2 linked regions of the Oryzias latipes genome follow. The main gene of each other region encodes a partner of the protein of the gene in region 2 in a complex. Links are inferred from orthologs where the notes say so. Each region holds a gene or a part of one and is shown on either strand. Other genes may lie near its edges. The genes, in order: polr2h and gtf2e2.

Region 1 (16,047 bases), on a different chromosome or scaffold from region 2:
AATGTGTTACCTAAAAAAAAGACAAACTTATTCAGTGTACACTGTGAGAAGAAAATGACATTCTCACCTATCAAAAGGCCAGCCTGTCGACATGCCATGACAGCAGCAAAGACGGTGGCACGGTCCTCAGACGCTGTGCTTCGGGTCAAAAAGCCAAAGATGGATGAGCCGGCTCCGGTGCCGATTCCTACAAATGGATTTCATCACTTAACTAAGCTAACAAAGTTACAAAAATCTGGTCTTTTAATTATGATTATGCCGTTTTTTGGCCAATATCAAAAAGCGCGTTGTTAATCAAGGGCATCATTTCTGCATAGCAGCAGTGGTTGATCAGAAATTCACCTCAGAGTTGTGCTCGCTTCCCATCATCCATCTGTTTACATGCTCTGCCACTAGCTTACAGCTAACCCCAACCTTACTTTACTGGTTCAACAAAAATGTTGTACACTATTGGAGCTATCCAGCCACGAGTTTTAAGCCAGATGGACGTACACGGATTGAGTCGTCTACAAGAAGCGCAGCAGGGAGCTCGTAGCTTGCCATAGTAACCTCTACTTTACACTCACAAGCTTTTTCATATGGGATTTTTGCATCTGCAAAATGTGTATTTTCAGGCATAATTTTCTTTCTATATGTGCTCCATCATGAGAAAAAGGCTATAAGAACATGATTAAAACACCCAAAAATCCTACTTTCATTGGAGTGTGTATTTAAACTTATTTTCTGAGGCTGAACGGCATTTAGCTTTCAGGCTGTAATTGACTTGAATGCAATGATGGCAACAAAAAAAAGAGAAGTTTAGTTATATTAATTGACTTTACCTTTCTCATGAGTATATAGACATTAACTATGAATGGAAAAAAAAATACCCAGAAGATAAATATTGCTGATTTATGTAAATTTAAAAATGGGTCATGCTGTTTTGTGAGATAAGTATATTCTATTCATCCCAAAAGAGTGTTAGTTTTTGTCACTTACCTGCTACCAATCTACTGGACAGTAAAAGCCACTTGGAGTAGCCCATAAAATACATTAAATTACCTAAAAATAAAACGGATAAGAAATATTATTCAAAACTCATATTGGAACTTTAAGGTTTCATAATCGCGGGGAGCCAAAGTCTAACAATGCAAACAATCCAAGTGAGGAGAAAGAATGGAAGAAACTGTAGACTTACCAATTATTTCGAAAAAGTTGGCAAACAAAATGATCTTCTTTGTGGTTTGGGTTCTGTCGGACAAGTGACCAAACAGCGGTCCTGAAAGCAGGCCACTCAGACTGAATGCAGACAGTGTTAAACCCAGGAAATAAGGCTCCGCATTTAAAGTCTGCAAATATCTCCATATGGTGGGTAATATCACAGCTGAGGAAATAAAAAATAAAAAAAAGAGACAAATGAAACAGAGAAAATGTTAGTTCTTAACTACCCATGGAGGGACTAAAGAACATGCACAATTGTGTTTTTTGGTTTTTAAATATGAATATGTGAACTTTTACTTAACACAATATGAAATGAGAATGAAACTATTAACCAGCTTATTCTTTTTTTTTTTTCCCAGTGGGAGCTCCTGAAACTGCTCTTTCTCCCCATCAATGACTGAAGCTTTATCAGCACACAGACAAACAATTGCCCCAACTAAAGCCAACCCGGAGCCAATAGGAGTGTCCCATGTCACATGCTGTCAAGATTGCAGAGGAAGTGATAACTCCACTTCTTTTGCAATTTAGAAAAAGAAGATTCCACTGTTTCAACACAGCCAACCATGTGCAAAAGAATATAACTTACTTTTTCATACTGGAAAATGTAGAATTGTGCCCTTTTGTTTTCTTTATATCATTGAAAGGGATAAATAATAAAATATGCACAGATTTAAAAACGTTAGACCTTTTTATAACTAAAACATAGAAAGATCTAAATACTACAGAGTTGTTCAGCAAGATTTAATAAGTTGACCTCCAAGCAAAGACTAACCAGTTTATAAAAGTAGGGCAATAACATATTTTAGCAAGACTTTATTGGTTTTTTTTGCTGAAGTCCTGATTTTCAAATCACAGTCCACGTGTTTTTGAGGGGTAGGAACCCTAAAAGTACATAGCCTTCTTAAACTCGTCGAGATAAGCCCTGTTTTCCACCTCAACACTCAAACCAAGGTGTATTTGGTTGAAATGTGGTTTTATCAAAGGGTTTTGACACAACAAGGACTGTGTGATAAAGAAAATGATTCATTTTTGAATGTATAATCATTTAAAAAGAGATAATGTTATATTTTTTAAAGTAGAACCATTTAAAAACAGCTTTCAGCAAGTGACTTGTTTCCTTTCCACAGTAATCAAGGAGTCAAAGAATCTCCAAAGTATTTTCTGGTTTAATTTTCTGAATGGCCTGATTCTTCTATCTGGGTGTCCACATTAATGCTATACCCATTCATCTTTACATTTTTTTTAATCAATTCAAATTAATTTGTTCTGGCCTGAAAGAGACAAAGATACAATGAAAAAAGTCCAATTTAATAACAGAAAAAGACAGATCCCTATTTTGTAGTTTTATTAGAGCCAATTAAAAAGTAATTACTCCTTTGTGATCACAAAAATTAGAGTAAATGAATAAGTGGATAAACAAATACACAAAAAAAGAAATACCGTATCTTTTTTTTTTTTAATCAGCCTACCACACACATTTGAAGGATCTTTTGATCAGAATATCCTGGCTTTAGGCAGAATTTCAGAAATACAATTTGATAATTACATTTGATGTATTCGTCTTGTTTTGTTTTATCCAGGAGGATTGTTGTTTATTAGACCCTTATGTATTTTCATTGATTATACGTGCTCATAATGCCTTAAGGTTTCATTGGACATTAGTTTTTACCTTTATGCATATTATTTTCATTTTGTTTAAACTCCAGTGTTTTCCTCAGAGGAATCCTCCACACCAGTGACTCGGCCGTCCTAGTGAACAGGGTTGTTGCAGTGGGATCTTCTAGCTCTGGCTGCTCGCTTTGATAAGAGGGGATCCTGGGGAGATGTCCTTTGTGATCTTGACTGGGGGAGGTTATCATTTTTCTTACCATGGTTTGTGTGTAAGGGGCGGTGTGGCATTGCGTAGGTTTTAAACAAAATATTTGTTTTGCCCTTTTTTTTTTTAAATTTGATTATGTTTTTATGTGAAGCACTTTGAGTAGCACGAGTTGTAAACGGACTTTAGATATAAAGTTTGATTTGATTTGCTGGTGTGGACAGATCCCAAGAAAATAATTTTCTCACTTCAGCATAAAGCTTTTTCTATTTTTATCTATAGGTCATTTCAGGGCAGCTGGATAACCCAGTTGGTTAAGCGTACAAAAGGGCTCATGTCTGGGTCCCCCTGTGCCGGTCCCCAGCCCGGATAAAACATAGGATTGTGTCAGGAAGGGCATTCTGTGCAAAAAACCTCACTGCCAATCCACCTGTGCTAATCTGTGGGGGGAAAACGTATTTTCTGTGAGGTTAATTTGTGGTTGTTTATTATTATTATTATTATTATGTAAAGGTATTTGATTTTTGTTTTGTATTTTAGTTGAGGTTGAAAGATTTTTTTAATTTTAATTCTGTAAAACACTGTTGTTTGAAAAGGGCTTTATGAATAAAGTTTGGCTTGATCCAAGATGTTTCTATTGTTTTTATTATTTTTTTTTCACTGCAACTGTCAGTGTCTGATTTTATATTAGGGTGCATATAAAAAATAAAAATAAACAAAAAAGGAAGAAACCTAAGAGAGTGAACGTTTGCCAAAAAAAAAAAAAAAAAACGCATATCTGGAGTTTTTTTGTTTTCAATTTTTTTAGGCTATGCATCAGTTTTGACTCTTTATAATCACTGCAATTCTAACTGTATCATTGTGGATAATAAAACATGATTATAAGCAAACTATTGACTGTTTTAGAAGTGTTTTTCAACCAGTGTGCTGCGGTGTGCCGTGAGAGATGGTCAGGTGTGCCATGAGAAATTGCCCATTTTTCACTGATCTAAAAACATTTTCCATCTCCAGGATATCAGCTCTGTGTTCATCCAAATAGGCCTGATAAAACACTAAGCGGTTAGGAATATGAAAGATCATAAAATACATTTTTCTTTGTGTTTATTTGATTCTATAAAAGACACTTTGATAAGAATGAAGGTAACGCGATTTAACCACAGCTTCAGCTGTTTTCGGAAAAGTCCTGCCCCTTTAACTGTCTCCACCAATCATTCTTGGAGGCTCAATCATACGACCAATCAGAAGTGGTTAAAGTCTTCACATGCTTGTCCCGATTCTGCTCATAAAGTCTCTCAGTTCCAACAAAAACAGCTAAAGCTTGTCTTTAGCGGTGTAGCTTTCCGTGGGATCTGATGTCAGACCGTGGAACAAGTCGACAAAACAATGAAGCTCAGAGAAGCGAGTCTGTCTGTCATCACGACATCTCCCATGGTGCATAGCGTTAAAGTGAGAGCATCTTGGCGTACAAAGAGTCTTCCCTGTTAAACATCTTGAAACCACAACGAAAACACAAACAGTTTTTAAATCTTCTTGATGAAATCAGAGATAAACAGTTTAGTTCTCCTTCAAGCTTTGTGTTTATTAACAACCAAACATCCCAGAGTTTGGTCCAAGTCATCTTTCTAACTGAAACACTTTTCTAATAATGTCTGGATTCAAAGACAAATTCGCTTTCAGACTTCAATCACTTGTGAAAAAATGAAAAGTTAAACCTAAGTAGAAGTAATAGCAACATTTAAGAAACAGGATTAAGGTGAAGTGGCCAACAGACACATTTAAAATAAATTGAAACGTATTTAATAATCCAAAAAGAAATAAAACATTTTTGTTAAAGACTTAATTTTTGATTAAGACAAGAGAAAAACTAATAAAACTTCAACATTTTCACTTTTTGTGTAGCTACAATAAACATAAACATGTTAGTTTTTTGTGTAAAATTTATCAAACACATTTGTGATCATATTGTAAAAAAATAAAAAATTTATTTTACCAACATTTAAAAAAAAAAATCAATATTTAGAAAGACTAATGTTTTTTGTGAGGTTACATAAAATTGTATGTTAATAAACAGGAGGAAAAAAACAACTACCAGGGTAAAATGTCAAATAATTAAGTTACAATTACTGAAAACTAACAAAAACAGCTGCAACTTCCAGCTTTTTCTACCACAATTATCACAAAAATTCACGTGAGATTGTGGGTGGACTATAAATCAATACAGACTAGAGTTTCTCCTTTTTTAATTTTTGGATGCTGGAGTACCGCGGGACTTTTGTCCAGGATAACGTGCGCCTTGGCTCAAAAAAGGTTGAAAAACACTGTTTACGATAACTAATAACTAAATCCTTATCACCCGTCTGTCCATAATAAAGAGCGTCAGAAAGACAGAAAGGGGTCTTACCATATTCCACACCGCTAAGAAGAAAAATGAGTCCAATAGTAGCGAATGTCAGTTTCCTCTTACGGCGATTATCCATCTTGCTGGTGTGGTCTGCTATTCTCCCGTCTCTATCATTTCTCTGAACGCGCTCCTCATGCTTTGACAAACAGCTGAGCTAATCCACAGAGCGAGGCTTCCAATTAAAGCTGGGGAAGATGCTAAACCTGGCTATTCATCTGAGAAAAGCTCAAAATACATCAGCATTTTCCTCCACGATTTAAATACGATATTTTAGCAATGCCTGGGGCGATTCTAAGACCAAAGAGGAGCCCGAAGATCCTTCACATACGGTCAATCAAAGTCCAGCAACGCTTTTTCGTAAGAAAACAATTCGACATGCCCCTCCATGGCCACCGTCTTTTCCGGTGTTGTGCAGGAACGAACTCCTGGAAAGGAGTAGTCTTGTCTCGGGAGCGCGCTTTGCACTGATTTCAGAGCCAGTTCCCAATTTAGATCAATTTCGTCACCGACATTTTTTTTAAACTAATTAGATGCCTTAACAGATACAAAAAAAAGGAAAAGTTGATTAGAGCCTAACCATTTGTTATGATGTCATGTAACCACCTGCAGTAAAGTCTAACAAAATGCTGTCAGGGATCATGATAGAACTACCCTGTTTTCACATTTATTTAAGCTTGCATGATAAAAAAAAGTCAACTAAACTTCAGATTTTACCATGAAGGATATGTAACAGCAATTTTTCTGTCAGATATTTATAAAACCAGACAAAATAACAAATCCTCAATAGCAAAAGGGATTTTTTTTAAGCAAAGATTAGATCAAGTTAAAATGTATTACAATGACTCCTCATTTATCTGAGTCCAAATCAAAATGCAGAAGCAATATCAGAACCTTTTAAACCTCAATCGTGTTCCTGCTGCCCTAAGAGTTGGTTAGCAAAATGAAGCTGCTGTCTCTCCTCACAGCATTTCATGATCATCAGGAGTCAACTGTTCAACTGGATGAAACATTAAAATAAACATGAGTCAAAGTTTGGTGACAACTATAAACCTCATCATCCAAGATTCCACTGCATCCTCTGTTCAGTGCCTGAGTAAAAAGGTACTTTTCAAAAAGTGGGATCCTCTCCGGTTTCCAGATTCTCATTTGAATTATAATTTATTTTAGAAAAATAAAGAAACTTCAAAATGAAGGAATGTCATTTATGTTTTGTCTGTATGGAGCATGTATTCCCGTGTTGTTCTTACTGCATGACTAATCCAATAAAATAGTCTTCAATTAAATATAATAAACCCTTCATGAAATTGACTCAAGGTCAGGCTGGTTGGAAAAATGGAAACTTCTCATTATTTGCATTTAAGGTCTTCACTGATGGCATGTCAATTTTTATGAGCTGTACTAATAGAAAAAAAATAGATTTTTGGCTCAGGCAATCTGAAGTGAACCATAAGCAGCAGAATGCAGCTGAAAATGTCATTGCTGAAACAAGGCAGACAAAACTAAAATGGAAGTAAGAGATGAAGATTTTAAACTGTTCTACTAGCAAAAGCATTGAAATTTTTAGACAAGTCATACATATCATGAGATGCAACTGATCACATATCAGCTGGATAACTACATAAAGCCCAAATCCAGACTTTATGCTAAAATACATGTCAGTACCACAAAGGGCAAAACTTTATTTTACAACATGAATCCATTCTGTTTGTGTTTAAAGCTTTGTGTGCACATACCAGTATTCAGTGAGTCAGAGTGATTCCCATCTTGTGACATTTGTTATAACAGTCTTTAAGTGTCCTGTTTGGCGCACAAAAGCCGCTTATTTCCCTATAATTCAATTTTCTGTCTCCAGGTTTCATTTTGCTGCGTTCTGCAACACTGTTGAAGAGTATTCATCGCTATAAAATGAAGTTAATCAACACTTGTAATTGTTTTGTATAAAAGAAAGAAATATTTATTTACAGTGTACCACCAAGTGGAAATCACAGACCTCAGTGTAGTTTGTTGGAGGAACTATAAAAAATACAACAGAGGTTTACAAAAACATGGTGTTTTGTCTCTAAGATGTTCATATGTTCCACTTTTCTAGATCCCAGTTTTACAAAGGTGGATGAAGGCGGTAGAAAACAGAGGAGGGGGGTTAAAAGGCCAGCTTCTTCATGAGGAGATAGACTCTGGAGTCTACCTCAAAGCCGTGTAGATTGTTGGCATCTCCCTGCAGCCTCATGAGAAGGCCTCCATAAGACACATAGGCTGAGCTGAAAGAACAAGCACATCATTAGAGGACTTGATCAACATTTACACATACATACAGTTTATTTAAATTTTTACTAATCACTAAATTGACAGCACTTGACTTTTAACTTAAATAAAGGATTGTAATGATCTACATGCATTTGTGTAGAACTTACAGACGCGTGGCTGCTTCTGTTGAGGTCTCATCGCCTTCTATCTTGTAGACCTTTCCATACATTACATAGTCAAACTGAGCTGCCCTAGAAACAATTTAAAAATGGAAGATGAATCAAAAGCATCACACATTATCTGCCACAGATTGAAAGACATGGATGTTCATTTATCTTCTTTAAATGCCTTGCCTAGATGGTCGATCATCCTGGGGATTGTACTCTCCATCATCTGGCGTTCCATCTTCATATAATGTACTGGCAATCACCAGTCTGAACTTGTCCCCTTTTTGAAACATGCAAAAAAAAATCTGGATTTATCATAGCAATGTACATAATCACCTAAGATCAAGCTACACTTCTAATACAATAGTTTTACATTGAGTCAAAACTGAGTTAAAATAACTTATCAATTCTGCACCAACACCTTACAAGAGTGAAGAATGACAGTTTCACTAAATACTACCAATAATCAATTTAAAAATTCCTCCACAAAGGCCAAATGTCTAAGATCAAACAAGACATAAACAATAAAGGACATTGTTAATTTCTTACCAAGATCAACAGGATAAATCTGAGTATTTACATCCAAGATCAGGTCCATCTTGAAAGATTCACTTTCACAATGCAGACGAGACACTGCAGTATAAGTAATAATAACCTGTATTAGTTTATATTAAAGAGAACTGAAAACATTATGAAACTGACTAACGCGCTTTTAGATATCCATCTTTTTCAAGCAAATGCATATAATGATTATGTTTGTTATTGTGTTAGTTTTAAAGCTACTAAAAAGCAGGATTGAAGGTTTCCCAACTCAGTAATGTGATGACTGTAATGTTTAGCTGTAATAAAATAATAAAATAAAAGCTGTAATTACTGACAACACAATTTTTTAGTCACACTTAACACAATATGAACAAAAATGCAATATACAATTGTAATTATGACTTTTACAACTGAAACTATCTACTGGTGAAGATCGTTTTTGTGTTTTTACAGTGACAGTCCACATACCTCTGTCAAATTTCTTGCCATCTGGATCAATGTCTTTCACATCAAAAATATCTTCAAACAAAATCCCAGCCATCTTTATCCCTTTCTGTTAAACCTAAAACAGATTCATCATAAAACAAAATTAAAAGGGAAGGTTAGTCACACAGCAAAGCATTTTACGTAGCCAAGTCAATCAAGAAAAACACACTATAGCAGTGAGTGCTATATTGTGTTTTTCACAGTTTCAGTGTGAAATTCCTATGACTCTTCTTTCTTCTTTCTTTCTCTTTCGGCTTTTCCCATCAGGGGTCGCCACAGCGAATCATCCTTTTCCACCTCACTCTATCATGAACATCTTCTACCCTAACATTAGCCAACTTCATGTCCTCTGTTAAGACATCCATATATCTCCTCTTTGACCGTCCTCTTGGCCTCCTGCCAGGCAGCTCCATCTCCAACATCCTTCTAGTTCTACCAATATATCCACTATCCCTCCTCTGAACATGTCCAAACCATCTCATTCTGGCTTCTCTGACTTTGTCGCTAACACAGGCAACATGGGCCGTCCCTCTGATGTACTCGTTCCTTATCCTGTCTAACCTGGTCACTCCTAAGCGTTCTGGTCCCGATCTTGACTATAATTAATTAAAAACAAGTTAAAAAGAAAAAGGAATAGGTCAAAACAAATGGAAATCACAAAGCTCTCCCACCGTGTCAAAGTGGGTGAACAAAACTTGTCACAACTTTGGACAACTTTAACAATGTTCACTTACGCGCTAACTGTAGCATCATGTTGTCCACACAAAATATAATACTTACCCCCAAGTGCTGTTCTTGTATTTTTGTGTAAATAGTATGCCCTGGAATGTGGTGAATTCGTGTAAAAACGATAATAATGTAACCTAGACGTCAGATATTTGATTTAGATAGATTTTCATTCATTATTAAGCGAAATAGTCGGTACCGCGCAGAACCAGCGTGTTCGACCTTTGACATAACAAGAACTTCCGTTTTTTTGTCTCTTTTTTTCTTTTAAAAGAAAGACGCATGTTTTGCTTTACTGAATGTTATACATTTTTTAGAAAGGGAAAAATGCGTTGCGATGGTGTAATGTAGAAAAAATGATCACTAAAATAACACCAATTAAATTTGCCTACCGTTTTATTTGAAGGCTCACAATAGGTCAAAGATGGGGAAAAAACGAATAATATTTTGGCTAAATTTTACGTAGCAAATAAAAAAAAGATTTTTATAAAAGTATTTGTTTTCTCTCAATTATTTAACTGATAATTTAAGTAACCAACAACTGAACTAATTTTACGACAGTTTTTACTAACTTCCGTCTGTCGTCATCTTGTTGCTAGGTGCGTTTAGCGTCCTCTGTGTGGACGGTTGCTAGCTAATGTTAAGGCTGTTGTTTTTACCATAAGCGTCATTATATCGAAAAAATAATTACCAATATACATTTTAAGCATAAATAAAATATTTAATGAAACTTCTAATGCGGATTCTTACCAAGAAAAGATGGTCAAACGAGGTAAGGAACGCTCATCATGTGAACAAACCTGACTGAAACAATTATTGACTAGCTTCCTGCAGTTTGCAGCTCTTCAAATCTCTGCCGTTATAGTTAACGTGTTTTCCGCTATAAAATGCATACAAAGATGAAAATAATTTTTTTTTGATCATAGTAGTAACATTAGGATGGTCTTAGTTTTAGGGCAGGGATGTCCACTTAGTTTCTTCTGTTTAGTTTAGCAATCAGCTATTGAATTCTATGACTTTATGTTCTTTATGATTCATGTTTATTACACAATTACCGGAATGAAGCCCATTGAGATGACTATTGCTGTAAATATTGGGCTATAAATACAATGTAATTGAATTGAATACAACTACAGTAACCTCGGTTGGAACAAACAAATAATAATTCGGAAAGAAAACTGAAACCGTACAAGTTAATACAGGTTGTAATTATTTGCTCTTGTTCGAATAAGCAAGACTGGTCATCTTTACATTAAAACGTGAAATTATTGAAGTATTTTTTTCTTTTTCTTTTTGCCTGTCTGTGCTATTCTGTCTGTTCAGACTGTTACCTGTTTTTTGTAAGTGCAAAGGAATTTCAAACTGAGCCCCAAATGACGGCCGGTATTTTGACAGCTGTGGTCCACGGATGAGTTCAACTAAGACAGCCAAGATGGGAGACATCTTGGCAACTGAAGCCGATCTCCTTGGGATGATTAAAGAGGTAAAGCATGATAGGGATGTGAAGAAAAAAACTGCAATTAAAATCCATAATCTGTTTATTCTGATAGTTGATCTAACATTTCAATGTATTCCACGATGGTGATTGTATAATTAACACACTTTGTGTTTGTTCTCTTTAGTACCTGAAGTTTGGGGAATTTGAAGAAACGGTTCAAATTTTTGACAAAGAATGTAAAAGCAAAGGCAAACTTGTCTCCAAGCCTCGAGGAAACGCTCTCAGAGACTCAAAGACTCGTGTCATTCAGGTAAATTATACGTTTCATAAGATATCTTAGTCCTTGATAGTAATCAGGGGTGTAAGGATTCATTTTAACAACAATTCCACTCAGAGAAAAATACCTGGGTTCTAATCAGTGCAGGTGAAGTTTTCCACATTCCTTGTATCTCTTGCAAAATAATCAAGTATAAATTAAATGTGTGTGCAAACAAACAAGTACCGGTAAACAAGAGTTAATGGCAAATCCATTCCCATTTTAGTTTCATAAAGTTCAACCCACTGTTGTTTTTCCACAAAAAAATACAAATTAAACATTATCAGAACATTCTGCCACACTGTATGGTCATGTCTTTACTAAATTCAAAGTAATGACGGACTGATCAGTTTTATGCTGCCATCACGTGTTTTGTCCGCTGTGATGCACTTGGTAGTTTTAACATTATAGTAAAATAAACGTACCGTACCTCAATCGAAACGGTATTTTCCAATATTGATTATAATCGATTTGTTTCATTTTGAAATGATTTTATAACGGTATAGGTCGACCTATTTCTATAAATGGCTTACTTCAGACAGATCGATTTGGTTGAATCTTAGGATTGTAAATCTAATATTCAATTAAGTTGATGTTCCCTTCTCTACTTCTGTGCCGGTCCCAAGCCCGGTTGCTTTGAGAAGGTTGCATCAGGAAGGGCATCCGGCGTAAAACATTGCCAAGTTTACCATGCGACTTGTTCGCTGTGGCTACCCCTGATGCGAAAAGCCGAAAGAGAAAGAAGAATTGTCAACCCCCTGATAGTTATAGATAATATGTGTAGGCTACAGACCATTCTAGGTATAAAAAGCATTGAAACCATGCATACTTTTAGAATGTTAGTTAAAGTGATTGAAGTTTTCTATATGTGTAGTATCGTGATTGTTCTAATTATGTGTAAAACAGTAAGTAGTGTATATTTAAAAAAATAGAGCGCAGAAGGAATAATCTTTACTCTGGAGAAGACTTGTGGGGATTCCTGAAATAAACAAACAAACCCGAACAAGATATTTGCAGACACAAAATGATTCCACATATACAAGTCATATATGGAGAAATTGCATTTCTACATTTTTTTCTTCTAGTCTAGCCTATTAGAAAAATGTTTGACCAGATTGCAGATTATTTTACTAATAAAATGTTCATAAGAACAGTTGAATGTTTTTGTTAGTGATTTTCTTTTCAAGTTTTTTTGTTTGTTATGTTTTTTTAAATCTGACTTGAAGGAAGACCTTCTTAGCTCTTTTGACGATGGAGACCACAAAGTTTTCTTTGAGCTGTGGAAAGAGAATATTCCTTCTGAGGTGAAAGATTTAGATGCTGAGACCCAGGGCTTGGAGTTCTACCTTCATGTCCACTTCACCATTTTCCCACTGAGGAGCCATCCAGTTAGACAAGTACGTGAATCTAATTGTTCCTTGTTCTCATAAAAACGAAAACAGTAGTCTTGTGATTTGTTGTTTTTAATGCTGTCCACTAGGTTGTGCTACAAGCTTTGCTTTTTTTTATTCAATAAAGCTGGAATTATATGGCTATGAGTTGAACCCTTGTGCTATCCTATGACCCCACCCTCACATTGACGTGTTCTCAAGAAAAAAGGTTCAGCGCACTGTCTAGTGGGTCTAGATGACCCAACTCCCAAAGTATAAGTGCCTAGGATAACACAAGGGTTAAAGGCACCATTTTTTATTTGGGTTCATTTTTTTTCTAACTTCCATTCCTCTCCAGGACCGTACGGAATTTGAAGAGCGGATTTCCCACTTCAAACAATATCTTGAAACTCGGGGAGCAGAGTTGAGCCAAAACGCAGAGTTTTTGCCCTACTATGCTTTGCCTTTTGTTCCCTTCCCTGCTGTTCACCCTTCCTTCAAAGATCTCTTTAAGGTGATCAAAAGGAAACTTTCTTTGACTTTAACTTTCATTCATTGTTTATTACTGGGTACCACAGAGTTCAACAGGGTTTGACATTATTGTCAAACAATGTATTTCTACCTTTAGGATACCTGGATTCAGCAGTTGAAGGGAAGACTGGACAAATTCCTGACAATGACACTAAAACCCTCCAAGACTCCAAGGCTGATGACTTTATATGTATCCTTTTCATTGGTCTGGTCTTTTGCTGGGAAAACTGTCAGGCAAAACAGAGGTGTAGCACCTGTTTCCTGTTACATATTAGGAATATTATACCAGTATATAATCTCTTGGCATAGACATTTATTATTGTAGAATTGTAATTTTATAAAGTAAGAATAAATAACAAAAGAAGGAAAAACTCCTCCCACTTATTCAGAGTTTATTTGCATCTCGTATCTTTTTTTCCCCACACACAAAACCTCATAGACTAGTGAGTGTCTGGTAAGTGTGGTGAGCACAGACAGACATGGTCCAATGTTCTGAAACCAGGAATATATACTTTTGACAGCATGGACAGGGGCAGTTGTGAAAACAGAAAAAAAAAACATGTGTGCTTAAAACCTCTTAGTAGACACCTATTGTACTCTTTAATCCACAAGAAGAAGCTAAACCAACACCAGAAAGTGAAAGCAGGTTCCCTGTCCACCACTCACTGATGAAACGTCTCTTGACACCTCACTTTTCAAAACATTTAGTGTATTTATTGGGTGTAAAATGTAATCATTTAAACCAAACAAACAAACTAAACAAAATGATTTTTTTTTTTTCATTTTGGGTTAAGTGCCAGTTTAAAATTGAATTACAGTACTCTTCCTAAGTTTAGCGGAAAAAATGTAAAAGTAAATATTTTTTAACTATATAATTCATTGTTCATTTATTATAAGCTTTGTATGGAAGCGATTGTGTAGCATAATTAAAAATAAAAGTCAAAACCAGAAATGCTTTTTCATTTTCAAAATGAAGCTGCATTTCTTCACTCAAAATTAAAATGAAAAAGCAATCCTTCAAAATGCTTTTTCCTTTTCTACGTCAACACTGCTTATTCTGTCACTTAATTCAAATGATAAAGAAAATGGTATTTGACATTTTATTTTCAAAAAGTTCTCTGGTAAATGTGTAGCAAAACTCATTTAGAAATGTCTAATTTGACAATTAAAATGGATTAATAGAAATGCTTTTTAATTTTCAAAATGTAACTGCATCAAATGACTCGAAAATTAAAATGAAAAATCGATGCTTCAAAATGCTTTTTCATTTTCTACTTAAAAAAAACGCTTATTCTGTGTCATAATTAAAACGAAAATGCAATTTTGCAATTCATTTTAACTTTTAGTCAAAAAATGCAGCTTCATTTTGAAAATGAAAAAGCATTTCTGGTTTTGACTTTTATTTTTAATTGTGCTACACAAATGCTTCCATAGCTTTGAAATGTAACAAATAGTAATAGGCATAAAAGTCAAAATATTATTTTTAAGATATATTTTTTTAGGTTTTATAGGCTGATATCAAGAATTCTTTTTTCCATAAAACTTTACCAATGTCTATAAAAGTTTTCATTTTATTTTGTTGTTTTTATGTCTACTTTGAAGCAACTACTGGTAGTTACTATGTAATGCCTACATTTCATTCACAGGGAAGACCGATTTTACCATAAACCTATTTTCAGTTTATTGGCAATTTAATGTAAAAAAAAATGCGACTTTGTTATTTTTTTGTAATTATTAATAAAAGGAGAAAATGGGTGTTGTAATAAAAATATCTTTAACCCCTTCTCACAGTATGGTGCTAATCCACGATGCAGCATTTAATCCAGATCAGCTTAAAAAAAACACAAAAGAATATTTTATGATATAACTGGAAATAAAGTCAGGCATGAAGGGGTTAACAGTTGTTAGTAGTCCTAGTTTCAAGTGGAAAAATGCCCAAACAAAAATTGTGGCTTTTACCACAAACAGAGACACAAATAAAGAAAAGGCTTAAGAAATAATGTATACCTCATGACAAGTTGGAATGACATAGCTGTGGAAATGTTCAAGCAACACACCTTACCTTAGCCACTGACGAGGTGTAAGACTTTTTATTTTAATTTTTTTTTTTTTACTGGTTTTTTAACTCCTCTCCATGAGCCCTTATACTGTTTTGATACTTATTAAAATTTTGGATTATTCTAAAAATGAAATGAGTCAGGCTTTGCCTAAAACCTTTTCAGAAAACAAAGCCATCCCCTATGTAGGCAGTGAAAGATGTGCATGTGTGTAAACTCACAAGTCATTGCATAAGTGTTTCTGAAAATATTAGATGACAGGTGTGTTTGCTGCACAAGGGTGTTGGTTAAAGCATAATACTTAATGAAAGTAAGTAAATATTGAATCAGTACTTGCGTCTTTTCATACAATAGGACATATAATTTTGATTCTAAAATAAATAGATTTTCAAACAGGATGTTCAACACGCATGTTTGTATTGTCCGTTGTGAAGCTTTATGAAGATCCTGTATATGGCTGTCTCTCTCACTCCCTTCTTTCTTTACATGTGCCTCTAGCTAAATCCTACAGAACATTAATGTTAGAAAAATAACAAATAATGTATGCATTCTTAACAGACATCCTCCAGAAAGAGGGCGGCAAAGTTACTAAAGGTAAATAACCTTCAGAATGATGGTACAGAATAACATGCAACTGTTAAAATAGGTTGATTTGTTCTGTAAATTAAGTTAAAAGATGTTTTAAATAAGTGAATTCCACTTTGTTAAAATGTTAAATTATGTTAACTTATCAAACCCTCCCAATTCCGTAT
Region 2 (15,934 bases):
ATTTGCTAATAAATTCTTTAAAAAATCAGAAAGTGATTTTCTGGATTTTTTTTCCTCGTTTTCGGTATACCTATGTTGAAAATTACAGGCCTCTCTCATCTTTTTAAGTGGAAGAACTTGCAAAATTGGTGGCTGACTAAACCCTTTTTTGCCGCACTGGGTGTCTGCAAGTGGATGCATCTGAATGGAGCGGAGCAGGGAGTTTGTGACCCGCCCACTGTTGCTTCTACACCACAACAAGCTTTCTTCAAACAGCATTTTTCCGCCTGCGACTGATACAACAATTTGAGTAAAGAAATCCTCAGAAATACAAGTTTTAATTTGCACGTCCTCCCTCAACACGAAAATGGCACAAGAATGTTTTTCTAATCGTATTTGGTCTCATGTGCAGCATCGTTTCTCCTGCATATATAATACAGAAGATAATATGTAAAATTACCTCATTTTATAACTAAATCAGACCTTCTGCTGGTGTCTTTTTTTTAGCTTTTTTCAACCTTTTCTTAACTGCAGGAAAGAAGGAATTTCAACAAAGCTAAAAGTGGGTGGGATGTTTCCACCCCAGAGGACGCTAATGGAGAATGTTCTTGTCGTTTCAGCCCCAGACTCTTCAGCTGGATTTTCTGATGAAGATTTTACCCAACTACCACCACTTAAAGAAAACGGTTAAAGCAGGCCAGACGAGCTAGAAGTGGCCGCTGCACGTCCAGAAGGTTGAACTGTCGGGGACTAGAGGAAATCACGCAAACTGTATATAGGTCGCAGTCATGTTTTGTGCTGTTAAACTAAACGGGACGTTTGTCCTTCCGCACGCCGCTGTGTGACGCGCTCTTTCATAGAAATAAACAATTTACAGCAAAATGCCTCACGTTTGATCTCTCTCACCTTTGGCAGTTTTATTGGACAACAAATATTCAAATAATATTCCAATAAATGGGTCCAAAGTTAATCTTGCGCTCCCCAAAAGCTCAGAAGTAAAAGCATTGAAATATTCTACTTCAGGAAAATGTCTCACACCAGGTGAAACACAAATGTAACACACTTTAATAAACTACTAGAACATACTGCAACTCCTCCAAAAGAAACCCTTTTCTAGCTCGTCTTTGCTATGCGGTAAAGAAAAACTATTGAGTCTTTACAGTTAAACAGATGCCTTCCTTAAAGGGTTTGGTATCCACGGAGACGTCTGCGCTCCACCGCCGTCTCTCAGTTGATCCATACAGTTAGATTTCACGACACGCCAGCTGCTGGCTTCATGTAATGAAAGACCACAGTTCACTGAAGAGAGTACAAGCAGAGAAAAACAAGCTTTGTTTGGGAGCGGAAGCCTCCATCTGCAGCCGTTTGCCGCCTCATTTCTTAGCAGGCACACCGTCCGAGTAGTCCTCCAGCACTCCAGCCAGGTGGTTGTTGTGAGTTTTAAATTGTCTCTTCCTCTGCCCGGATTGCTTCTTTTTCTTTTGAACCGTCATCTGCAGAGAGAACGAGGATGAATGCTCGTTTTGGCCCCCCCCCAAAAAAAAACAATAGGTTTTTTTTTTTTTTTTTAATTTTGAAAATGCAAAGGAAGTATTTGACACGAACCACTTTCTTTGGTCCCGTTTCTTGCATGGAGGAGATGCCTTGTTTCTTCAAGTACTCGTCAATTTTCTCTTCGTCTATGGAGTCTACAGGAACACTCCTCCACAGCTTCTGGAATTCTGCAGATAAGCCGTCAAGATGCAGTCAGGAAGGATGGAACGTCTGGATGCGGAATCTCTTGTTATTCAATTACCAGAAATTGTTAACGTTATTCAAATTCACAAACGTCTTTGCCCAAAAGTCCCAACAGTAACTTTTTCTTTTTAATAAGTAAAGTTCATGAAGGGTTCTGGTCATTAAAAAACAACAGATGATTGTGTTTAAGGAAGATAGACATTTTTTTTTCTAAACCAGGAAATGATCCCCACAGTATTCAGATAAAAAACATGAACTTAAAGTTTTACTTATTTGCTGCAAAGGTTTTTCATTCAAAAAATGTGGAAAAATAGGGAATTTTGTAAAATAAATTAGAACAACAAAGTCCTGGCTGAGTAGCTGCTACACCCCCTCACTCTCCCACCCTGGTCAGAGCTGGATGTGACAAATTCATCAAAAAGAAAAACCTTTTTCAAAATGACAGCTTCCCTGCTGGTTTTATTTCCATAGCAACCACTTTATTTTTGGGTCGCCTGGGGGTGGTGACAAAGAGATCTGTCATTTTTAGAGGAAAAGCAAGTTTTTGGATTTCCATGGCAACACAGGTTTTTTGTTAACCACTCCCCCGTGCTTACATCATAATTTGTAGTGATCTCTTGAGCTTGACCCAAGGATTGATACGTTACATTTTCACAACATTCTCGTAAAAAATACGGCAGAAATAGGGGAACGCCACTTTTGTGATCTCGCTACGCTAACACTATTTAAAATCTATAAACCTTCAAATGAACTTTTTTTCTTCCCAGTAGCTTCCTGATGATGTTTGAGGAGTCCTGAAGATTAAAATCCCTTTGGAGGAATTTTAATTTGTAGATGGTAATACAGGTGATTTCATTTTTGTGAAAATCTGCAAATTTCACACAAAAACATCTGATAAGCAGTAGGTCCAGTGGCCATCCCATAATATTTCAAACTTCCTTTGTATATTCCCGAAGTGTGTTTTGGTATCGCCTGTGGATTTGGAACTGCATATGACACTTTGCCCCGATTCATTTCTGTGTCTGTTTCTCCTGCTGTGATGTCATCATGGGGGGGGGGGGGGGGGGTCGCTTACAATGCCCAAAAGTGGTTTTCATCGGGTACCAGGTGTGTGCAAACTGTGGTGATTTTTGGAGAATGTGGCGGTAAGAAAATTCCAAAAACTATTTGTTCCATAGAAGCGGCACAGAATGAAATATGAATTTGAGCAAATGCTACTATTCATATTTGAACACTCTTGTAGAAAAACCTCGTTACATGTAAGGAGGATCTGAAGGGTTAAAGAAACATCCTAAACCTTTCAAATCCTCACAGAGGAAGACTCACCTTCGTCTACCGTGAACTGGCAGTGCTTGTCGTTGTAGAACAGAATCTTTTTCTTGTCGGGTCTCGTGACGAAGATGATCTGATCCCCCAAAGCCTTTAAAAGGTCATTTTCATCTCATTAGTATTTTTGCCTCCCCTCACTAACCATTTATCACACATCGCCATGCTATGACTGAGCGTCAATTGTTGATGCTTTTTGACCTTGATGGCCTTGGCGGCGTTGGGAAGCCCCTCCTCCACGTCGTCCAGCAGCACTCCTCCCAGTCCCAGCTGGTCGTGTTTGTCCAGCAGCCTCAGTAAGGCCTTCTTGTCTTTCAGGTTGTACTTGGGCTTGAAGCCGTACGTTCCATCTCGGACCTCGATCTTTGGGTTGTTGACCAGCGCCTGAAAGGATGTTTATTTGACTATCATGCCGTCACATTTAGCAATCGAGAAAATGTACATTTCTGTGAAAACAGGTTAGGTCACATTGATGTCAGCCAAAGGTTTTCTTTAATATGTCATTTATTATTCAGTATTTAGGATTAAGGTGGTCAAAAATGAGCAAGCGTATTTTTTTTTAAATACTGCATGAAAACATTGCAATGCAAGACGATAAAGGGCTTTGTTGTGTGTTTGATTACAAGTGTGTGAGGGTGTGTGTATATGCATCCAAACGGGATTTGTGTTTGTGCAAAACAAAATGATCAAGGTTTGTAATGCGGCCTTTCCACAAGAGTTTTTTAGGACATGTTTAAACCAAAAAGTGTCTCCTGTCTGTAATTAGCGTGAGCTTTATTTTGAAGGTTTGACACGGAAGTTGATCACGTCTTCAACAAAGATCTGCTCTTTGCGGAGGAATGCTGTTTTTTAAATGAATTAAAAGCCTTACAATCCAGAAGAAAAACAAGATAAATGAATCATAAATATTCAGGAATATTGGGGAATAAAAAAAAGCAACAAAAGGAAGTTTCACGCTTTTAAGGCCGTGTCACACAGACGCTAGATCGCGGCAGACCCTAACCCTAATGCAGACTTCAAAGGCCATTAACCCGCTTATACCATAGTCATTTACAAAAGAAATAAATATTCAACCACTTTTTAGAACTTTATTTATACAGTTTGGATTGCTTTATTCGCAAAAAGCAGACTACTTTTTCCGCGGTGCAGCGCGTTGACATGTTTCCGTGACAACGCGGCGCTCAGCCGGTACTTACCTCGACTGCAGTGGCGAAGGAAAGCGATATATATATGCTGATCGTCACGATGGGTTAAATAAAGCATCATATGAAACAGAAAAACTGTAACTGTTACAGTCGCTTGTTAAAATAAAGTTTTTTCGAGGAATATTGGAAAAGGAGACTTCCAGTTTCGGTTGAAAACTTCTGGGTCTGACAGATGAAGTTGTCGTCTAGATCCAGATCCTTGTGGAATTTCTCTGTTATTTTTTGGACAGATCTCATTCATTGAAAAGGTTGATCTTCAAAACGAACTGAAGTCGCAGTGCTGCTGCTTGGATGCTGGGTAAATGTTTCTAACAAAACACCAACTCCATCACTTCACAGCTGGGAGGAGCAGCAAACTCACCTCTGTCATGAGCCAATGCTTCTGTTTCATACTGATGTCCAGAAGTTTGGTCTCATCCAGAATCTCATCCAAAGCCAGGAAATGTGTGTCGCCATTCTGATGTCTGGTCTGTAATTTCACACCAAAACAAGTCAGAAAACATCACATCATATCGGAGTCTCTCAGTGAAAAGGCGGGCCGTGCATCTCTCCATTGGTTTAGGGTAACTTGGAGCCGCTGCATTCAACAGATAGATGGCTCAAAGAACACAAAGAGAGAATCGGTGGAATGAAGTGGGAGCCGATTCAGTCAGTCGGGGAGATTGACACGGCCCACTGCTCAGCTTGGATGGAGAGAGCACAAGCAGGTCAATGATGTGGATGCTAATGTGGGGGCTAAAATGAACTTCACACGTTCGTCAAAAACATGTGCCGGGGAAAAAACAAATAAACAAAAGAGAAAAAAAAAACATTTTTTACCCTGGACTACAAACAGAAAGCATCATGTTTACCTTCATGTAATTGACGATCTTAGCCAGGCAGCCGAATTTGTACCCGGAGCTTGCTTTGATGTTGATGTTGCCATTACTGCTCTCTGTGAATGACATTTCAAAATAAAAGCTTTTTACGGTTGAGATTAAAGCCATTTTGGCAAACACAAACTTAAAGTCCCACTCCGATCATCTTCTGATCTATTGTCAAAGTGTTCCCAGTGGTCTTTTAATTATGATGATGTCCGTTTTAACGCCCAAATCTGAAAACCTGTGTCGTTTTCTAGGACGTCGTTTCTGCAGAGCGGCAGGAGTTCATTCCAAATTTGCCTCTAAGGTGTGGACGGGGAATGTTGGTGCGGAGCTACACCACCCCCCTTTCCCCTCCTTGTTGCTGAGAGCTCTCTGTTTACATGCTCGCCGAATGTCCAGCGAGGAAAGCAAAGGCATTCGTGGATCTAGTCGTCTACAGGTGGATGCATCAGAATGGAGCGGAGCAGGGAGCTCATGGCCCGCCGACCGTTTCCACGTCACAAATATCATCTTTTTCAGACGGTGTTTTCTCATCTACTTCTAATTCAGGAGGATTTGAATCAAGAAAAAACTCAAAAGGGCTATTTCAAGCTAAATTTTCAAAATAAAAGTCCTCTGTCAGCAGAAAAATGCCAGAAAAAAAACCCTGTTAAAAAACAGCAAAAGCACGATTTTTAACAAATGGGTCTTTAAAAATAGTATTGCATTTCCTTGGGTTTTTTTAAGCCGTTTTTAATCTGTTGCTCTGATAAGACATGAATATTAAATGGATCTAGCATTTGGTGAAAACTTAAGTGATTCAGGCTGTGAGCTGGAGCCTCTGCAGCTTTAAGCTGCAGAGTAGGCGGGACGTTACAACGATGACAAGCTGGCTAACAAATGGAGCTAAGGCAGAGGAAAAGAAGGGGTGTAAGGGGGGGGGGGGGGGTCACTGCAAGGAGTGGCGGGGGAGGAAGAGGAGGAGGAGGAGTGTATGGACTGAACCCATGACGAGTGCAGGCTGAGAAGAGGGGAATACCGACAGACAGGTGCAGCAGTGAAAAGAGGAGAGAGCATCTTCTGTCTTCTATCTTCAGCCACAGCCAGACAGGTGAGTCTGCATGTTTCTCTGAATAGGATTCTTAAAATGGCACTTTTTTTTAGGATCTGCCATTTTTTTAAGGATTTTCCAGTTGATATTAGCAATCATTTCTAAAAGCTACTTTTGTGCGCGCTAACGGCAAAAGCAGCCCTCAATCTCCTCAGCTGTAATATTCCGAAGCCAGGATTTCTCATGGGTACGCTTGATTAAATAAACATGGATCAGTCTGCGCTCCTCGGGTTTCAGGGACCATCATTCCAGGGACCATTTCCGTGAGTGTCCCACGTTCGGGCGCCGTACCTGTGACAGCTGAAACGCACAAAACCTGAGCGAACAAACGGACGCACAAATCAGTCGAGACTGAGAGGAACCAGACAGCTTTTTTTTTTTTTGGAATGCGTGTTGAGAAAAAGCAAATGTGTGGCTCCAATGCCGCCCACAGAGCCCGGCCGGGGTGGGGCTCGCTCGCTTAGGGGAGGGAGGTAACAGATGCTGCACCGTCCCGGTTTTTGTGCGACTCCTCAGGAAGGATAATGGATAAGCCGAGAGAGCATTGGTGAGGGGAGATGGACAGAAAAAGGGGGGGGGAGGGAGGAGGCTGGCCAAAACACATGCAATAAAAGAGGCTGTTGTCATAGCGACGAGTGATGATGAAGCTGTTAGTGCTTGATTAACAGGGAGAGGATGCTCAGTGTGCAGCAGTTAGAGACGAGAGGCGGGGAATGACAAACGGACGCAACCACAAATTAATTCCCAACTTATACACAATACAAACTTTGATCGTGTTTACATTTGTGCTTAAATTCAACATTTGATAAGAACTTCACCAAATGTCTCAGCAAAAACACATTTTTAACAAAGTTCGACATTTCCAAAGCTCGTGAAAAATAAGAGAAGCAACAAAAAAGCACAGTGGCTTTTTAAAGAATATAATTTGACGTCACTTTTTGTTTAGGAATCCAAAAATAAGAGGCAGAATTCTTAGGAAAAAGTTCATAAAAGAGACCAAGTCTCCCCTTAGATTATTCAAAAACGTTTAAGTATATAAATAATTGTCCATTTTCAAACATTCTCAGACTGCAGTTACCTTAATCAGTATGCTTTAGTCAAAATGTTAGGGGATGCTAGTTAAAAGACAAAAGTCCAATGTAAGACAACAAAAATAAACATACAAAAATAAAGGTTATATTTCTGTGGTTCAATTTATAGTTAATGTTGATGCATTTTTGAGAAACACATGTCAAGCTCATAAAGTGAAACCCTGCTGGTGCGCGCATCGCTTCAGGAAAAGTTACATGACCAATACAGCTACTGTGTCGATGCGTCACAGGAGCCCAACACGGAAGCGCAGATTCCTTGTTTGCCAGATTCTGCTGTTCCTGAATGTGGCAAATAGATTCTGCGCCAGATTCTGCAGTTTTCCACCCAATCGGGTGATTTTGAGTCTCAGCTATCTTTTATTTTGAAAAATATATATTTTTTTTAAATTACCAGATCTTCTCGGCGTTAAACCAGTCCAGCAGCAAGTTTAACAGCGTAAGAAAAACTATTTTTGATGCCCTGGACGTACGCCCAGGTTCCAGCTGTTAAATGATTCTCTGATTTTGTTTGATCTCATTTACATATCTGCTATTAAATCAGTTGTTTTGGGCACTTGCTCGAGCACTTTTTTAAAAACATAAATAAAAGTTATTCCAAAAGCCTTTTTTCTGCTTTGAAAAACTGCTACAGACCATTAATGTTTTTTTTTTTTCCTTTCATTTTTTTTTTAGCCACGGATCATGGCGAACGCCACAGCTACCGTACCCCCCTCCCTCCCCGAGGCCATCCCCATGTCCCACGTTTCCCTGCAGGTACAGGAAGTCTACCCCTTCCACGACGGTTGGAACGTCGCCTGCTTCGTCATCCTCCTGCTCTTCATCCTCACCGTTCTGTCCCTGGCCGCTCTGGCCGTTCTCTACGAGTTACTGGACTGCGGCTGCTGCGCCAAAGGGAAAACGCGCCACCAGTTGCAGCAAGAAAGGTCGGGAAGCTGCAGCAATCTCATGACGAGAACATGCAAGGAGCTGGAGAGCCACACGGAGGTGGTATAGCAGCAGCACAGACAAAGGAAAATGGAAGAGTTTGGGGTTGGGATGCCCAATTTATTGCCAAAACAAGCACCCCTGATACCATAGACTGTCTATTTGCATGCATCCAATTCAGAGGCAAAGAAAAAAATGAATCAATGTTCCAGAGTATTCTGTACACAGAAACGTTTGCCGAGTTAGGGCTTTAAAGACTCATGTCATCTTTGTTTAGTTTTGTGTTTTTTTGCCGTTCTTCTATGGTAAACACACAGTCGTGAATTTGTAGACACAATAAAGGTTTTCGTTTGGCTTCCCACAAACCCGATAAAAGTTGATGGAAATCTTTTCTTTTGGGTTAAAAACATTGTGGTATGATAAAAAAGAATTGTTATAAATAAACATGATTCATTTAAATGGATGTTAAGGCGAGCCGAAAGTTGTAATTGTTTGTAGTGGATGTATAGAAATCAGCTGCCACTCTCATGTTACCAGGTGGAAAATCTGACATTTCTGAAACTTTTTTAACAGATGAAGACGTTTATTTTCCAAAAGCAACTAAATGAAGTGATAAAATCTAGCGTTGGACGGCTGTTGGTCAATGTGGTATGTTGGCATTTTCATGAAGACAAACATAAAAAGACTAAAGAAAATCAATAAAAATGAGATCTAACAAAAAGTTTGGTTAAAGAGTTTGAATTTTCTTTCTCTATATTTCATGATTCTTATGAATCAGTCCTTTCATCCAAAGAATTCTTTTAGGCTTTATTTATATTTACTATAAAAATGTTAGAAGTCATTTTTTGATCTGTGCACACCTTTAAAAAAAAGCAATGACAGCAGAATTTTGACCACTTTGCTTTTCGTAATTATTCAAATATTTGACTCAGAATAACCTATGAGTGACAGATGAATGAGTTTTGATTGCCTAGGTGTTACATCATCCATCCATTAAAAAACAACAACATTTAAACCAAACAAAAGAAAGAAAACATAATCCTTAAAAATAATCTGCCAGTTTCACTCAAAGACCCCCTCCGATCATATTTTGATCTATTGTGAAAGCGTTTCCATTGGTCTTTTACTTAGGAGAAGGTCATTTTTAGCTAAAAATTAAAAAAATCTGGGTCGTTTTTCTAGGACATAGTTTCTGCAGGGTGGCAGTAGTTCATTGGAATTTCACCTGAGTTGCGAGTGGGACCAGCGGCGCTGTAAGGAGCAACCCTACCCCCCCTTCCAGTCATCCATTACTGAGCTCTCTGCATATCCTCTCTCATAAGCTTACAGCCTCTCACACACCCAACCCAACATTGGTGAGCAAACTTAAGGTTTACGCCAGATGGCAGCCCAGGCGAGGAAAACAAAGACGTACATGGATCCATTTGTCTGCAAGTGGGTTTATCAGAATGGAGCGGAGCAGCTTGTGGCACGTCCAGGAGAAGCTCAGTAACCAGATATAAAGCATGACCTACCAGTGCTGTGTTTGGAGCCAGAGGAGCCTTCCTTGTCTAACTTGGGCTTCTTCTTCTTGTGGGATCCAGAGTCTGATGCAGCTGGTCTCTTCTCAACAGCCGGCGTGGAGAGAGCTCTTTTCTTAAACAGCTCCCTCTCGCGAAGCAGAGCTGGATCCATCCAGGCTGGTGGACAAAAGCATGTAAACACAGAAAAGGCTGGATAAAATGCAGTTTTACTAAGCTTCAAACGTTTAAATTAAATATAATTTATGAAATAAATATAATACTGAAACAGTGAGGTGCATCATCTCCATGCATATCTATTATACCTGGTATGTTTACCTGGTTCTTTTCTCAATCTAATCAGTGATGCAGCTGTTTTACTATTTTTTCTTCAAATATTAAGTAGAGCATAAGGATTATTATTAGTAACTAGATTTGATGTTAAAACATTGTCTTGACACGACAGGATTCTGTTCTTCAAAACTACGGTGTTCCATTTGTGCCAAAAATAATTGTGTTCGGTTCTTCTACTGACAATATGGGCCAAAGACATGGAATTACTACATTAACAGTGACCAAAGAAATACACTTAATACAGAAACAGTGGACTAAAAACTCAACTCAAAACATATTTAAACATATATATAACAGAAGTTCGCTGTTTGTCCGATTAGCTTCTTCTTCAGTTTATCGGGAAAAAAAAAACTTCATATAAGCAGCTAAAAGTCATCGAGATGAACCTTTAGAGTCCAGTTTCCCCAAAGAACCGAATCCCGTGACAGCATGACCCACATAACCGCTAATTAATGTTCCCGCATTGTCTAACACCTAATGTGATGCTAATCCTAGTGTTAGCATGTCAACGTTACCTGCTACTGTTGAGTTCTTCTTTCCAGAAAGTGGCGAATAAGTCCCGATAGACTAATTTATAAACTAAAAAGTGAAATAGAAAGACAATTTTAAGCTTAAGTAAACTCAAGCTTACTTTCTAATAAAAAAGTATTATTTTTGTATCCATCATGTAACTGTTTCGTTTAGTGTTCGAGTTGTCGGTTATCGTTATCGTATGTTATTCCTTGGGTGACGTCTTCCGCGTGCAAGCAAAAACCCGCAGCTGTGTAGCTCAACATCGCCACCTACTGGACTGGAGGACAGTCAACTTATTTCAGGCAAGAGAGCTATTTTGGTTAGGGATTCTGAAACTATAGCTAAAATAATGAGTGTTCTGTTTCACAGTTTTTAATTCTTGCCGGAACGTTTAAAAACAATTAAATAGTTTCAGCAAATGTTTCTCCCCCAACATTTTCAGTTTTTAAACTGAAAATTATTGGATATTATTATAACCAACAGTTTGTAATAAGACATTAAAAGTATTATTTCCAACACCTGACTGTAATATGTTCTGTTTTGCATTGTGGTGTGATTGCCATTTCGATTATAAACATAATCTTTACAAGTTTTCTTTGCCAAATTTTGTGCTTTGACCAATAAAGTTTAATCTCATTTCTTGTTAAAAGATGAAACACTTAAGTGAAATGTTAATAAAGTTCCAGGATTTATTTTTGAATAATATTTTTAATTTAAAGCCTTTTTTTTTCTTTTTACTGTAGAGGAGCCTACAGCACGTAGTTACAAAATACATTACGATAGCATACCTTTTGCAGTTCTAAAGGGGTGTAAAGCATTACTATGACATTAAAGTCATTACATACTTAGTAATGAGACGAGAACACATGAACAAAAAAACTCTGCTAAAAATATCTTTATAAACTCATGGTTCATCACTTTTAGCTTAGAAACAATAATTTAACTTTTGATTTCTTGAACAAATGTGTTTATCTTTTTTTTTTTTTTTTTCTTGAAGAAAAAAATGTATCTGATCAGTTATTTTTGACAAAGTGTGGTGATTGGAATCATTATTTAATAGACAGCTCCACTTTTCCTGAGGTAAACAGACCCCTACGGTTCTCCTGTCACTCTGTTATCCATTTAGGTAGATGACTCATAGTTTTATTTTAACAACAAAAAGCTGTGATTCTGCTTCCTGTACTTTCACTTAATGATTATTAAAGCTTATCGCCATTTGTCTTAGAGTGAAATGCTTGACAGTACCTTGTCACTTCCTCTACTTCTGTAGGTCTTACAAAGAACGCTATAAGTAATAATTGATTACGAGTCATAACTTTATAAGTAATAAAGTTATGTAACGCAGTGTAACTCTGACACAGTGACAGTTTGGAGGTAACAAACCCCAAACTGTAAACAGAAATAATACTAAAAATAATTTTACTTTCCCTTTATTATTACTTTATAAGTAATAAAGTCATGTAATGCAGTGTAACTCTGACACAGTGACAGTTTGGAGGTAACAAACCCCAAACTGTAAACAGAAATAATACTAAAAATAATTTTACTTTCCCTTTTTTTTCTCTGACTAGTAATCAATTTTATTAGCGAATAATGAGGGCATATACAAGGAATTTGGCTTCAGTGTCTTATTCTCTCATTTGAAAGGACAAAGCAAACAAGGATAAAGTATAAATAGGCGTAAAAAAGGAAAGAAAAACATGAAGATTACATTTAAACTGGTTTAAAAGTTCTCATGTTTGTGGTTTCATACTCTGTAACTGATTCTCCTTATTTGACCTCAAGTTCCCTTGTTGTTCACCTTTCGGCGTTTCCCTTCAGGGGGTGGCCACGGCGAATTAGCTTTCACTGATTTGCACAGGTGGTTCGGCAGAGATTTTTTTTAACGCCGGATGACCTTCCTGACACAAGCCTGTATTTCATCCGGGCTTGGGACCCGGCACAGGGGGACTTACCGCGTAGGGTTTTACCTAAGGACCCACACTGGATTCAGCTCATCGTGCCCCCTGGGAAATGAACCCTGGTTTTCCACAAACCAGTCCTGCATTCAGCCATCCAGCCGCTTTTTTGACTCTAAGTTCCCTGAATTTCATAAATCCCAAACAATTACCCATCATTCCCTCATTATTTCAGTCTGCAGGCATGGGAATGTGAGCTATATTCTATTTATTCTACAGAAATATGTGTTATTAATGAGGCTGTACATAAAAACACATTGAAGTCTAATTAAGTTTGTTTTAGAAATCACAGGGTTTTCAAAGATGTATATATTTTTTTATCCAGTTCAATCCTAGTTGCAATTACCACAGAGAGAACTCATTCAGCATTTTAAAATCTACTTAAAAACATGCAACTATATGCTACATTTGTTGGTACAGTAATGAATATTTTTCCCATCCTTTTTCTCCCTTTACTTTACGCTTTCCATTTGGTTAATGTCACTGCGTATCTTTCCAGACACTCCTCATCCATGAGTGGGAATGGCTCATCTCCAGAGGAAAATAGCTCAACATCACCACTTAGTGGTTCATTAATTTTTCTGCCTCACTTATGCACATTTCTCTCAACAGACTGGCTCTGTGTAAATTACGCTAAAGCAAATATTTGCACACAGTTATTTTAATATACTTGCCTGAAAAATATTTTGTTTTTCTAAGCCTGGTGGGTTGACAATAAAAGATTGGATATTAGTTTAGCAATTTTTTTTTAAAGTATTTTGGTGTTTATTTGCAAAACTGTGCAGATGAGTGAATAAAACTACATGAAAATAATATTTCCTCCACTACCAGCAAAAGAAAAGCATTTTTTTAAATCAAATATGAATGAAATAACTGTGTTTTACCCTAATTTCAGCAGGTTGAGTTGGTGGAAGTATTGAATTGGGCTGGCAATTCCAGTCAGCACCTCTAGGGGCGCTAACTCGCCAAGACTCGTACTGTCTGTTTAAATCCACCAAACAAACACTTTGACTTCCTGTTTTGGACTAAAAGTTATTGGTATCATGTCAGTTCAACAGGTTATCACTAGATTACTTAATACTAACCTAAAATAATCATAATGAAACTACCTCACAATTCCCCTTACCAAAAACTAGTCTATTGTACTACAAGTATACTTAATCTATACTGAAAGTGAGCTGGTGTACTTGAGGTCTACTTTTTATATATTATCTATACATTGTAAACTTAAAATCTTCAAATTTAGTCAGAAGTATTTAGTTAGTATACTTCTTACACTTACAGGTACATGATCAGTAGTACATTTGTTGTACTTATACTCAAGTATACTTAGTCTTTACTAAAAGTGAGGTGGTGTACTTGAGGTCTACTTTTTATATATTATCTATACATTGTAAACTTAAAATCTTCAAATTTAGTCAGAAGTATTTAGTTAGTATACTTCTTACACTTACAGGTACATGATCAGTAGTACATTTGTTGTACTTATACTCAAGTATACTTAGTCTATACTAAAAGTGAGGTGGTGTACTTGAGGTCTACTTTTTATATACTATCTATACATTGTAAACTTAAAATCTTCAACTTTAGTGTGAAGTATTTCAATAGTATACTTCCTACACTACAGCTACATGGTCAGTAGTATATTTGCAGTACTCAGTATACTTCATAAAATACATTTCAAGTTTACTCGTTTTTGCTGAGGGTCGCTCCCAAGATTGTTTTTCATCTCTTTGTTTAGATTACCCTGAGCAAAAATTAATACACCTGAAGGTTATTTCATTAGGTATACTTGAGTATAAGTATAATGTGGACCATGTACATATAGTGTAGGAAGTATGATAATTGAATACTTCTTCAGATTAAACTTGAACATTTAAAATTTACAGTATGTAGATAGTAGGCCTATGGAAACTTCAAGAGTACTCCCTCAGTTGTGGCAGAAACTAAGTGTACTTACATTGACTATTTTTGCTAAGGGTAGATAATATACAAAGAATTTACTTGTTTGTTTTTTAATTTAAATTGAAATTACGTTGGGACACCTTTGATCGACAGATTCATTAAGCTCAATTTTCAACTAACTTCACCAATTAACATATGAAGCTTTTTTCTCTTTTTTGGACCATGTGAAGAGGCCTAAGGGGAGAAAACTGTACTAGGAGATTATGCAAAGTCCACAAAGAAAAGTCAGAACCAGGGCCCTGGGAGCTGGTGGTAGACTTTCGCAGGCACACTCACTCTACATTTGCACCGGTGAACATCCAAGGAAGGGACATTGAGAGAGTAGATTCATACAAGTACTTGGGTGTTCACCTCAACAATAAGCTGGACTGGTCACACAATACAGAAGCACTGTACAAAAAAGGACAGAGCAGACTTCATCTGCTGAGGAGACTGAGGTCTTTTAGAGTGCAGGGATCACTCCTAAAGACTTTTTATGACTCTGTGGTGGTATCAGCCATCTTTTATGGAGCGGTCAGCTGGTGTAGCGGCATCTCGGCAGCAGACAGGAAGCGACTGGAGAAGCTGGTGAAGAAGGCCAGCTCTGTTCTAGGGCTGCCTTTGGACTCAATACAGGAAGTGGGAGAGAGGAGGATGGTAGCTAAGCTATCATCCTTGATGGAGAACGACGCCCACCCCATGTATGAGTCTGTGTCCTCACTGTGCAGCTCCTTCAGCGTCAGACTGATACATCCTAAGTGTCTGAAGGAGCGACACCGCAGGTCGTTTCTACCTTCTGCCATCAGACTTTACAACCTTAGCTGGTCGCAGTGAACCACGTCAAACAACATAATCGGCTTGGTCTTATTTATCTTACCCAGTGTATTAACTGATTATATGGTCATCCTGTGTAATTTTTTTGGAAATGTATGTGTGTATATTGTGTATATATGTGTTTATACTGACTCCATAGTTTTGTTTCTTTTATATTTTGCTCTCTGTTCCTGTCCTGCTGCCGCAATAAGGAAATTTCCCCATCGTGGGACTAATAAAGGAATATCTTATCTTACTGTCAGGTGGGAGAGCTAACCACTACACCACTGTGCCGCCCTATTTGTCCCGCCTGTTTGCCTATTTCTGAAAAAGGTCAGTGATGTCATAAATGACTTTAACTGCAAAAAATTTAAAAAGGGCTTTAAATAGGGTCAAATCCATCCAAACACAAGCTCACCAAAAACCCACAGAGAAAGCAGAAACCAGCATCTCGGATTTGTGTTTTTTTTTTCTTTTTTAAAAACTCCTCAGTGGTTGAGATTTACTGAAAAAGCTGCTGCATTTTGGAAACAGACACTAAAAGCAGTGTCTTTTCTTTTATTTATTTTTTTTACAGATCACCACACACGGGCACACTCGCCGTCCCAGCCCCTTCCAGATGCTGCGTGACCGCCTTC

Evidence for each region.
Region 1: gtf2e2 (region 2) and polr2h share a complex: the UniProt entries of both Homo sapiens proteins name them as parts of the TBP-based Pol II pre-initiation complex. The link is inferred for Oryzias latipes from reciprocal best matches to the Homo sapiens genes GTF2E2 and POLR2H.

What each region holds. Positions count from the first base shown.
Region 1 is NC_019862.2:11,772,592-11,788,638, reverse strand, and holds polr2h (DNA-directed RNA polymerases I, II, and III subunit RPABC3), read right to left. Parts: upstream 10,127-16,047; 5' UTR 9,976-10,126; intron 9,829-9,975; exon of another isoform or gene 9,638-9,828; intron 8,934-9,637; 5' UTR 8,913-8,933; coding exon 8,840-8,912; intron 8,462-8,839; coding exon 8,378-8,461; intron 8,109-8,377; coding exon 8,015-8,108; intron 7,913-8,014; coding exon 7,829-7,912; intron 7,676-7,828; coding exon 7,558-7,675; 3' UTR 7,063-7,557; downstream 1-7,062. Other genes in the region: major facilitator superfamily domain-containing protein 8, read right to left, coding at 68-187, 979-1,041, 1,178-1,363, 5,418-5,493; lisH domain-containing protein ARMC9, read left to right, coding at 10,992-11,066, 11,206-11,331, 12,564-12,734, 13,066-13,221, 13,336-13,428, 15,865-15,889. UniProt on the Homo sapiens protein: DNA-dependent RNA polymerase catalyzes the transcription of DNA into RNA using the four ribonucleoside triphosphates as substrates.
Region 2 is NC_019859.2:11,933,285-11,949,218, reverse strand, and holds gtf2e2 (transcription initiation factor IIE subunit beta), read right to left. Parts: upstream 10,806-15,934; 5' UTR 10,584-10,805; intron 9,895-10,583; 5' UTR 9,890-9,894; coding exon 9,730-9,889; intron 8,936-9,729; exon of another isoform or gene 8,285-8,935; coding exon of another isoform or gene 7,973-8,284; exon of another isoform or gene 7,964-7,972; intron 6,201-7,963; exon of another isoform or gene 6,051-6,200; intron 5,182-6,050; coding exon 5,099-5,181; intron 4,717-5,098; coding exon 4,609-4,716; intron 3,427-4,608; coding exon 3,244-3,426; intron 3,137-3,243; coding exon 3,043-3,136; intron 1,701-3,042; coding exon 1,585-1,700; intron 1,473-1,584; coding exon 1,353-1,472; 3' UTR 866-1,352; downstream 1-865. Other genes in the region: dctn6 (dynactin subunit 6), read left to right, coding at 600-689; smim18 (small integral membrane protein 18), read left to right, coding at 7,973-8,284. UniProt on the Homo sapiens protein: Recruits TFIIH to the initiation complex and stimulates the RNA polymerase II C-terminal domain kinase and DNA-dependent ATPase activities of TFIIH. Both TFIIH and TFIIE are required for promoter clearance by RNA polymerase.